Linked DNA regions of Rattus norvegicus. The protein of the gene in region 1 purifies or fractionates together with the protein of each later gene. This does not show direct contact. Links are inferred from orthologs where the notes say so. Each region holds a gene or a part of one and is shown in the gene's direction. Other genes may lie near its edges.

Region 1 (3,651 bases):
AGAGGCCAGTTGGCTTGCAAGTCTGTGTGGGAATATGTAGACCGGCTAAGCAAGAGGACCCCCATGTTCTACAACTACACATATGCACCTGAGGACACAGAGGTGAGTGGGGCCTGGCTGGGGCGGCGGCTCCCACGTAGCCGGGCTTCTTATGGAGGCTTACTTTCCCCAGGTGCTGCGGCCCTACAGCAATGTGTCCAACCTGAAGGTGTGGGATTTCTACACTGAGGAGACGCTGGCTGAGGGGCCCCCTTATGACTGGGAGCTGGCCCAGGGGCCTCCTGAGCCTCCAGAAGAGGAGCGTCCTGATGGAGGTGCTCCCCAGAGCAGGCGCCGTGTGGTTTGGCCGTGCTATGACAGCCGCCCTCGAGTCCAGCCTGATGCCATCTCACGTCTGCTGGAGGTGTGTGCTGTCCCAGGCAGCAGGAGAAGGCCTGTGCATGTGTGTGTGTGTCAGCAGCTCCCCTTGAGAGCTGGGGGTGGCTCTCACTTCACTCACTGTGTGAACTGCTTACATACTTCAGATAGCTGTGGGTCTTAGGTCTTTGTCTCGTGCTAATAGATATTTACAGATAGTGATGCGAAAGCATCTGTCAGAAACTCTCAAGACTCAAGACTTGGGTTTTGCTCTTGGCATATGTGTATCCCTTTACCTGGTATATTAATCACTTTTTGTCGCTGTGAGGAAATACTGAGATATGTTAGTTTACAAGGTAGAGAAATTCATTTAGCTTGCAGTTCTGGAGGCTCAAGGGAATGTACTCAGTTCTAGGAAGTGTCTGGGCTGGGCCACATCATGGCGGTCTCCCAAGAAATTTTCTCACCCTTTCCAAGACCTTCCCTATGACCAGAGACCTTCCACCAGACCCCACCTCTTACAGATTCATCACTTCCTACCTAATCTGCTACTCGGGGACTAGTCTTACTTTCACACATGTACCTTGAGGTCAAACCACATGCACACTTCAGTACCTGGGTGTCAGTGCAGGCAGAGTTGTCCCAGGAGTTACTCACTCTCTGTCTGCTCAGCTGTCTGTCTGGCATGCCTGAAAGTGAGCAGTAGCTCTCCTGGGATCCAGCCCTGGAGTTTAGGGAATCACTTTTGCCTTCAATTTGCCATCTTTTCTGGCTCTATCTGTTCAGGAATCAGACTCAAGGCACAGATCCCTTGAAAGAAAAAATGGTCAAGTGAGCTGTGCTAGATGCTCTGTGGTAGCTGAGGCAATGTACAGTGACAGACTCTGTCTGTGGCATGGCCTCCCTTAGTGGCTCATTAAAGGGGTTGAGCAGTCAGAAGTCCTAAGAAGGACTTAGCCCCAAGTCCTAAGTAAGAAGAGGTTTGCACTCCTCTGTGCTGACTGTGTTCCCTTCAAGATTAAGTGAGCATCCCCTGACTTCTTCTTGTGCAAAGTATGTTGATCTGTGCCTCCCAAGGGAGGGAGTAAATGTGAAATATGTTTGGATGAGCCAGTATAGGGCCTGATCGGAAGGGTTTATTCCTCGAGTGCGCCTGTGTGCACCTGTGGGCACCTGTGGGCGGGTAGTTTTGTACAGGGAATGATAGTGTGGAAATCAGAAGAGTTGTCTTGATCTGATTTTACTGGGCCTCTTAGCTTTCCTACGGCATAAATACGCATAGTATTTTATTTTTGTTTTAGTCAACTTTGTTTTTAAAGAAGTTACACAATGAGAGAAAGGCTTTCTATTTCTGCCATCTCCAGTATCTTTGCTTTGCTTGGCTTTCTATCAGTGGAGCTTGAATGTAAAAACTTCCACATCTGAATCCTACATTCAAAGAAAATACTTTTAAAAGTAATGACGCGTGGGCTAAGTGTAGACTAGCTCAGTGTTGGAGAAAGCACTTGTTTCCATGCACAAAGCTGGAGTTAATATTCACCACTAAACAAGTCAAAAGAAAGGAAGGTGTTTACTCCCTCCCTTGGGAGGCACAAATCAGCATCCTACTTTGTACATGAAGAAGCCAGGTAATGCTCATATACTCTTGAAGGGAATTCAATACTAAGGATTGAACTCAGGGCCTTATATATGGCCAGGCAAATGCTCTACCACTGAGCTACAGCTGAAACTTGGTCATCATCATCACCACCATCACCATCATCATCACCACCACCACCCTCACCATCATCACCATCATCATCACCACCACCACCATCATCCAAGATCTATGTTGTCCTAGCTGACTACAATTTAAGATCCTCCTGCCTCAGCCTCCCCATTATTTACAAGTACAGGCATACTCTAGGTCTGGCCTCTAATTCCTTTTTTCTTTGTATATCTAGTCCAATACCAGTTCCTTTCAGACTGAAAAATTTTTAGTATTTCTTGTAATACAGATTTGCTAGTCAGTTTTATTACATCTGACATGTCCCCACCCTTTGTGGTAGTGCAGTCTATTGAGTGAGTCAGTCCCAGGACCTTGTGTGTACATGAAGTGTTCTGCCACTGAACCATGACCTCTGCCCGCCCGACTACCTGCAGTATCTTTAAGGGTGTGTGTGTGTGTCTGTGTGTCTGTGTCTGTGTCTGTCTGTCAGGGTCTCACTCTAGCCCAAGTTAACCTAGAACTAATGTATTTTTCTTTCTCGGGCTGGCTTCAAGCTCAGTAACCTTTATATCTTAGCTTTCTAGTTAACAGCGCATGCTGTTGTGCCCAGCTAATGCTAACTCTGAGACACGTCTTAACGTAGCTAAGGAAGGACTTGAGCTCCTTCCTGATATTTTTGCTTCAACCTTCCAAGTTTTAGGATTACATTTATAAACTGCCATGCCCAACTCTCACTTATTTTTAAGAGATAGGGTGTTGCTGTGTTTCCCTAGGCTGGCCTTGAACCTCTAATCCTAAATGATCCTTCTATTTTAGCCTTCCAGTTAGGTAGAATTATGTGGGAAACGCAATGCCTGGTTTTGCCTACCTGTCTCTTTCCACCTTTCTTTTGACTTGTTTAGTGGTGAATATTAACTCCAGCTTTGTGCATGGAAACAAGTGCTTTCTCCAACACTGAGCTAGTCTACACTTAGCCCACGCGTCATTACTTTTAAAAGTATTTTCTTTGAATGCAGGGTTCAGATGTGGTCAGTTTTTACACTCAAGCCCCACTGATAGAATAGTGGAGGCGTCATTACGTTGTTTTCTGGCTTGCAGTGTGCTCACCAAAGTCAGTGCTCATTCATATCCTTATAGACCATGGAACGCCATCTTTTATTTTTATCTTTCGATATAATCCTCGTTGGCCTGCATCTGCCTCCTGAGTGCTGGGATTAAAGAAGTGGACCACCCCTAGACATACTTTAAGAAAGTTTTTGAAATTAGATATACTTTAAAAAATTTTGAAATTATATTTACTTACTTAGTGTGTCTGTGCATGTGTGAGGGTAGAAGATTAGAGGTCAACTTTGAGGAGCCATTCTGTCCTCCTCACACAGCACACATAGGACTGTCTTCCTCATACAGCACACATAGGACTGTCTTCCTCACACAGCACACATAGGACTGTCCTCCCTCACACAGTACACATAGGTCTGTCCTCCCTCACACAGTACACATAGGTCTGTCCTCCCTCACACAATACACATAGGTCTGTCCTCCCTCACACAATACACATAGGACTGTCCTCCTCACACAGCACACAT
Region 2 (3,651 bases), on another chromosome or scaffold:
CTGATCTCTGAGTTCAAGGCCAGTTTGATCTGCAAAATGAGTTCCCGGACAGCCAGGGATACTATAGTTCTTAGATTAAGATAAAGTTGGAAGTTTAGATTAAGCTTCTGAAGGATTTTTTTACACCATTTATTCTATGATTTGTTACAATTAGCCAAGCAGTCAAATTACTTTTATAAAATGCGTAATCTGTTTTTAACAGCACATAGTGTCAAGTAAACTATGGCTATTTTGTCTTTTCAGCCAAAGATGTGACTTACATATGTCCGTTCACTGGTGCTGTACGAGGGACGCTGACTGTCACAAATTACAGATTATATTTCAAGAGCATGGAACGGGTGAGGCTTTTGTCTATATATTTGTGTGTGTTTGGTATGTTTGCTTACTTCTGGTTAATTGACTTATTTATTTTTGAGACATAAAGTCTTAAGTATGTAGTCATAGCTGTCCTGTAACTTGCTATGGGACCAAACTAGACTCAAACTCAGTAGTCTTCCTGCCTCAGTCTCCAAGTGCTTGGTGTAAAGGTTGCTCCACCACTCCCAGTTCACTTCTGGATAATATTTGATTAAAGAATTTCTGGTTAAGATTTTTAACATTTTGGGGAAGCAGGTGTCCATGGTCCTGTTCATGTTATTCAAGCACTTTGCAGTTTTTTATAAGTTGTATGTTTTCTTTTCATCTTGCAGGACCCTCCGTTTGTTCTAGATGCTTCTCTTGGGGTGATAAGTAGAGTAGAAAAAATCGGTGGTGCATCTAGCCGTGGTGAAAATTCTTATGGCCTGGAAACGGTGTGCAAGGTAAATTTTACAATCTTGGTATGGTTGTATTTGCTCTAGAGCTGTTAAATAGAACCTCTACTTGGAAACTGGTCCAAGTGGATTACATACTAAAAATGTATTCTTAGGGTAGTGAGTGTTATTCACTGTTAAATCACATGGCATTTTATACCAGGACCTAATCAACATCTTTGCACATCTCTTTTTTTGTTATTGTTGTTTTCTAGGATAAGGTCTCTGTTCTGGAACTTGCTCTGTAGACCAGGCTGGTCTCAAACTCATAGATCCGCCTGCCTCTGCCTGCCACGTGTGTGCTGCCACCACCTGGCTTGTGCACATCTCAATTCTAGACCGCATGACTTCTGTTGCATTCTCTCAGTGCCCTAAGAAAAAGAGACAGTATATATCATCCAGAGTGTTTGCATATGTTCATCTTAAAAGTTTGTTGAATCTCCTGTTAAAATTATTGACTTAGTCACTAGTATTTTCTTTTTTTTTTTTTTTGTGGTTCTTTTTTTCGGAGCTGGGGACCGAACCCAGGGCCTTGCGCTTTCTAGGCAAGCGCTCTACCACTGAGCTAAATCCCCAACCCCTAGTATTGTCTTGATGTCAAGGTTCTGAGTATACTAGCTCTCATCCATGTATATCGTATACCTTGCTTCTTGGTATTTCTTTAGCAAGAAATAGTACATAAAGTTTCAGGAAGGCTGGCTTTTGAACTCATTGTAGATAAGGTTTTTTGTTTTGTTTTGTTTTGTTTTGCTTTGCTTTTGTGGATCTGTACCATTATAGTTGGATCTTTGCTAGAGAGCAGTTAACCAAAGAGGTGATCTGAGGGTCTTCACTAGTCATAGAGACGTACAGGAGGGCACAGTGTACAGATGTGTGTTTTCACAGAAGAGTACAGATGCTACTCATTTGGCTCAGATTTGCAGTAAGCTATTTGCATTGAAAATACACCATGTGTTGTCTCTGTGTGTGGTTTTTCTACGTTACCGGAGTGTTCTCCTACCGTCAGGAGTAAATCCATTGGTCAGACTCTGCTGGCTGGATGGGTGCTGTGTGACACATAGTGTCATTTCGGGGTGCTCTCAAGGATACAGTCGTCTTTCTTCCCTGGAATGAAGTCTAAAATTGCTTGTAAAATGGAGTGTCAGTATTAAAAACAAACAAAACTGTTTCTTTTTTTTTTTTCTTTGCTTTTCTTTTTTTTTTTTTTTTTTTTTTTTGGAGCTGGGGTCCGAACCCAGGGCCTTGCGCTTGCTAGGTAAGCACTCTACCACTGAGCTAAATCCCCAACCCCAACAAAACTGTTTCTTATAAGTATATCATTTTATATTGTACAGTACTGAGTAACAGAGTAGGGTACAGCCTCATCTCAACAACGATGAAACTATAACAAAGTAAATTCAACTTTTGCCTAAGTTAAAATACTTAAATAAAAATGGATATTTCAAAATCATTTTTAATGTCAAATGTTTTTACTAGGTGCTAGGCCAGCATAAATTTGGCTTCTAATGTCACTGTGCCTGAGCATGGGAAGTGGCTGAGGACACACGCAGAGAGGGCTCCCAGGATCCAGTGCAGGCCGAGTCTGGGTGGGCACAGCCAGCTCTAGGCGTGTCATTGCAGTGGAGGAGGAGGAGGAAGTAAAGGCAGGCCAGTCCTGTCTAGCAGAGGAGACTTGAAGTGAGCCCTAGGAAGAAGAAAAGTAAGAAGATGATCACTGTACATGATAGAAATGATAACGACTGATTGTGGTTTTTATTTTTAAAAATTAGGTTCTGGGAAGTAAGCTACGCCCTGTGCTTATGAGACAAGCACTTTATCTACTGAGCCATCTGCCCAAAAAGAACAAATGTTGGGCCTCTGTCAGTACTTAGGTCATTTTCTTCCCCTTTGGCCGGCCGAGCCGAGAGCCCAGGAAGATTCTCTGCCATGTAGTGTGTGCTAGGTTTCTTCTGCTCCCAGTTCATTGTTCTTTGTTTGCAGGAGCTGTTGTTGTATAAATGCAGATCTTCCCTTTACCCAACATTTCCAAGTAACCTCATTTGTTCATTAAACAGAAAGAAAATGATTTAATTAGACGCTATATCTTTTCTAGGATATCAGGAATTTACGATTTGCTCATAAACCAGAGGGGCGAACAAGAAGATCAATATTTGAGAATCTAATGAAATATGCATTTCCTGTGTCTAACGGCTTGGTAATGTTTCTCTCTAATCCATATTGTAATTGTTAGTGTGAACACACCCAGCTAGGTTGTCCAGATGCTACCTTTTATGTTCCTGATTTGACACTTAGCTAGAGGCTGTCTTGTGCCTAAGGTCCCCTATGTGACACTCTATAAGTACCTGTTGATTTCTTGGGAGGAGGAGCAAACTGGAGCTTGAACCCAGGGCTTTATACATGGTAGGCACATCAGTAACCAAGCGATTTTGTTTATGTGTCTTTATTTGAGACAGGCTGGCTTATATAATATTTTTTCATCAGGATATTTCTAGGATAAAAGCTTATGTAGTCTTCATTAGAGTTGGAAGTCTCCCTGGGGAGAGCTGGCAGTGACTAGGAGTCTGGGACAGTCACTAGTGTAGCAGTGTTTTAGCTGTGCGAGGTTCTCTCAACTGCATGATAGCGCGTCATTCACCCCCAGTCAGAGCCAGTGCACTGAATTTCTCCTCTGGGCTGCAGTTATCCTTTGAGACACCATAGTTTTTTCCTAGTTACATGTTAAAAAGCTTACATGCAGGGTATGAAAAGCTTGTTCAGTGTCAGAGCACACAGTACAGACTTTAGAGCCACTCGGTGCTGCTGGCTAGTGATGGGCCCGTTACTTCTGCTGTGAAGTACCTTGGAGATGTCATTTATTACT
Region 3 (3,651 bases), on another chromosome or scaffold:
GTCCTTGGTATGAACCGACTTCTCGTACTTATGTTCATTGGCGTTGGTTCCAGTTTTCTTTGCTTCCTTAGCAGAGTGCATCTCAGTTAACACTCCCTCAGTCAACTCCGTGCACGCCAGCCGCTGAGGCCATTATTTCCAGATGTCGCATGGCTGCTGACTGGCTGTGACCGGCTGAAACCTGTTGGCGGTGGTGATAATAATAAGCTTCACAGAAATTCGGAAAAAAATGCATCATGTGTTGCCTAAGACAGTGGAGGTGACCATGTGGTTTTTATTCTTTAATCTCTTAATATTTCTTTTTTTATATTTCTTATATACATATTTTTAATATTTCTTAATATTGTCATTGATTTCTTTTTAACGTTGGTTTTTACTATGAAACCGGCCTCACATCTTTTTTTTAAGTGAGAAAGAGAGCGAGCTTTTTTATTTTAAAGTATTTTAAAGTATATATATATATTATATACTGTAGCTGTCTTCAGACACACCAGAAGAGGGAATCCAATCTCATTACAGATGGTCGTGAGCCACCATGTGGTTACTGGGATTTGAACTCAGGACCTTTGGAAGAGCAGTCAGTGCTCTTAACCACTGAGCCATCTCTCCAGCCTAAGGCCTCGAATCTTTTTAACATTGATTGATTTTTTTTTTTTTTTTTTTTTTTTTTTACTGTTAAACCAGCCTTGCATTCTTATAGAATAAACCAAACTCTGCCACGTTACAATCCCTTTTTCTATACTGCTAGACTCAGTTCGTTTACGCACAGGTAATGATTCAGGAGCTCGAGCTCATGGGATTGTGTTTGTGGGACAGTTCTTAAGTGTGAATAATCTGTAATGTGTGCAGAGCCGGTCATGCTCTCTATTCTTCTTAAATCACATCCGGCAAATGCTGATCTTGGAGGGTCCCTTCCTGTTCTCTGGTAAAATTCATTCATGTTACATCCTGGTTATAGTTGTTGGGGACCCGTATGAAGGCCAAGCTGCACATGTGCTATATGTGTGTGCTATGTGGGGGCGTAGTAGGTGCAGCACGTGTGCTATGTGTGTGTGTGTGGGTGTGTGGGTATGTGTGTCGGGGGGCAGGGCGTGGTATAGGTGCAGCCCACATATGTGCTCTTTGGTTGGTGGTTCAGTCTCTGGGGGCCCCCAAGGGTCCAGGTTTGTGGACTCTGCAGATCTTCTGGGGTTCCGATCCCCGCTGGATCCTCTAACTCTTCCACGAGATTCAGGGGCTGGTTCTCACCCATGGGATGGGTCTCAGGTTGGGCTGGTTGTAAGTTCCCTTGGCCTCGGCTCCATCGTTGTCCCTGCACATCTTGTAGTCAGGATCTATTTTGGGTTGGAGATCCTGTGACATCCGGGTCGGTATCCTTATCCCTCCATCCTCCAATGTCCATTTTATTTCCTCCCCTGGGCCTTCCTCGGTATTTTGTTTCCTTGGTTCTGTGCATGGTAGCATGGTACCTGTAATTCACAGCTGATACCCACTCATGAGTACACACCGTATACATCCATCTGGGTCTGCATTGCCTCACTCAGGACGATATTTTCTACTTTCTTTTTTCTTTTTCTTTTTGGAGCTGGGGACTGAACCTAGGGCCTTGCGCTTGCTAGGCAAGCGCTCTACCACTGAGCTAAATCCCCAACCTCTACTTTCATCCATTCGTCTGCAACATTCATGATGTCTTTCTCTTTTTAACGGCTGCATAGTATTCCACTGTGTAGACAAACTGCATTTTCTTTATCCATTCTTCAGTTGAGGGATATCTTGGTCATTCCCAGTTTCTGGCTACTACAAATAAAGCTGCCGTGAACATAGTGGGGCAAATGTCCCTGCGGTACGGTGGGACATCTTTTTGGGTACATGCCCAGGAGTGGTATACCTGGGTCTTGAGGTAGAACCATTCCTAGTTTTCTAAGAAACCGCCAGATCCCAGCGGCAATTTAAAAATATCCCTCCTGCTCCCTGTCCTCAGTAGCCCTTGACATCACTCAAGATTTCTTTTTTTTTAAATCTTAGCCATTCTGGTTCGTGGGAGGTGGAATCTCAGGGTTGTTTCGATTTGCGTTTCCCCGACGACTGAGGATATCAAGGTGCTTCTGGGCCATCAGAGAAATAAATCAAAAAACAAACAAAAAAACCCAAAACCACAAAAAAAAAAAAAAACCCCCAAAATTGAGCGATATGACTTTGCTTCCGTGATTAAACTTTAAGAATGAACTTTAATTTTTCCTCTCCGTTTCAGTTCCCTTCGGCATTCGAGTTTAACGAGTTGTTCCTGATCGCAATTTTGGATCACCTGTACAGCTGCCTCTTCGGGACCTTCCTGTGCAACTGCGAGCAGCAGCGTGTCAGAGAGGTGAGCGCAGGTCACAGCGCGCTTCACAGCGCACGTCATAGCTATTCCGGGCGTACTGCGAAATCCACGTGTGTCCCTCGGTTTGATGAAACTATCAACTTTTAAAAAATATTTTAATTTATTTTATATGAATAAACAGGGTTTTATTTATTCCTATGAATATTTATTTATTTCTGCTAAGTTTTTAATTTTAAAAGGGAGGATTGAATGGTGGGTGTAATGGCATTGGAATCGAATCTCAATGCAGATGTTTAAATCCATCAATCCAGATGTTTAAAGCAGAACAAAACAAACCCACAACAGCGGAGTAAAATCTTTATCAATTTTCGTGACATAAATTAATTCTTCCGCCGACACAGTGAATGCGCTCATCGGAAGCGCAGTGCAGTCGCTGATGTTCAGTTCGGTGAGGCTTTTACCCACGCCTGTGGGATCCGCACGGCACCAGTGACACCCATTTTTCTGGTACCTCAGACACACACACACAGATACACCCAGACACACATACACATACACACACGCACACGTGCGCACATGCACAGACACACACACACAGGAATTAACAAATATTGGCCATTCATATAGAAAGTTCTCGTCCCTCCTCCCTGCAGCCAGTTTCCAGGTGTTGCCTCACTTTGGTGCTGTTTCTGGGGACAGCACATCTGCACATGAGGCTGTGTGCATCCAGATGTCTCAGTGTGTGAACTCAGCTCATTATTTAAAATACGTTTGTGTGAAAATAAGATAATAATAATAATCGCCCTCGGGGCTGCGGTGAGGAACTCACTCCCGTGTCCCGGTTGTTTGTTCCCAGGACGTCTGTGCAAAGACCCTGTCGCTGTGGTCCTACATCAACAGCCAACTCGACGAATTCTCCAACCCCTTCTTCGTGAGCTACGACCACCACGTGCTGTATCCGGTCGCGAGTGTTAGCCGCTTGGAATTGTGGGTAAATTACTACGTACGGTGGAACCCACGGATGAGGCCGCAGGTAATTTTCCGTTTTCTCGTTCTCATAAGGACATGACCTTTCTTCCTGGGCGAGGATGACGTCATAAGATGTATTCATGGTAGACGCTGACGTACTGAGGGTGCACTGCCCTAGGAGTTAGGGTTCCATGTTTTGTGTGTTCTAGAAGGTTCTTTGCCGTTACCAACCCCGCTCCGTTTACTGAGTTAAGAGTTCAAACTTTTTTTTTTTAAAGATCTATATATTATATATAAATCGCTGTCTTCAGATACCAGAAGAGGGCATCAGATCCCATGACAAACGGTTGCAACCACCA

The links.
Region 2: the proteins of Sbf1 (region 1) and Mtmr2 purify together in Homo sapiens (affinity purification with mass spectrometry; 6 studies listed by BioGRID and IntAct, with this or other methods). This does not show direct contact. The link is inferred for Rattus norvegicus from reciprocal best matches to the Homo sapiens genes SBF1 and MTMR2.
Region 3: the proteins of Sbf1 (region 1) and Mtmr1 purify together in Homo sapiens (affinity purification with mass spectrometry; 4 studies listed by BioGRID and IntAct, with this or other methods). This does not show direct contact. The link is inferred for Rattus norvegicus from reciprocal best matches to the Homo sapiens genes SBF1 and MTMR1.

The regions. Positions count from the first base shown.
Region 1 is NC_086025.1:122,240,402-122,244,052, reverse strand, and holds part of Sbf1 (myotubularin-related protein 5), read left to right. Parts: coding exon 1-102; intron 103-172; coding exon 173-403; intron 404-3,651. UniProt on the Homo sapiens protein: Acts as an adapter for the phosphatase MTMR2 to regulate MTMR2 catalytic activity and subcellular location. Promotes the exchange of GDP to GTP, converting inactive GDP-bound Rab proteins into their active GTP-bound form.
Region 2 is NC_086026.1:18,930,583-18,934,233, forward strand, and holds part of Mtmr2 (myotubularin-related protein 2), read left to right. Parts: intron 1-243; coding exon 244-338; intron 339-689; coding exon 690-800; intron 801-2,883; coding exon 2,884-2,985; intron 2,986-3,651. UniProt on the Homo sapiens protein: Lipid phosphatase that specifically dephosphorylates the D-3 position of phosphatidylinositol 3-phosphate and phosphatidylinositol 3,5-bisphosphate, generating phosphatidylinositol and phosphatidylinositol 5-phosphate.
Region 3 is NC_086036.1:256,867-260,517, forward strand, and holds part of Mtmr1 (myotubularin-related protein 1), read left to right. Parts: intron 1-2,251; coding exon 2,252-2,365; intron 2,366-3,179; coding exon 3,180-3,356; intron 3,357-3,651. UniProt on the Homo sapiens protein: Lipid phosphatase that specifically dephosphorylates the D-3 position of phosphatidylinositol 3-phosphate, generating phosphatidylinositol. Could also dephosphorylate phosphatidylinositol 3,5-bisphosphate to produce phosphatidylinositol 5-phosphate.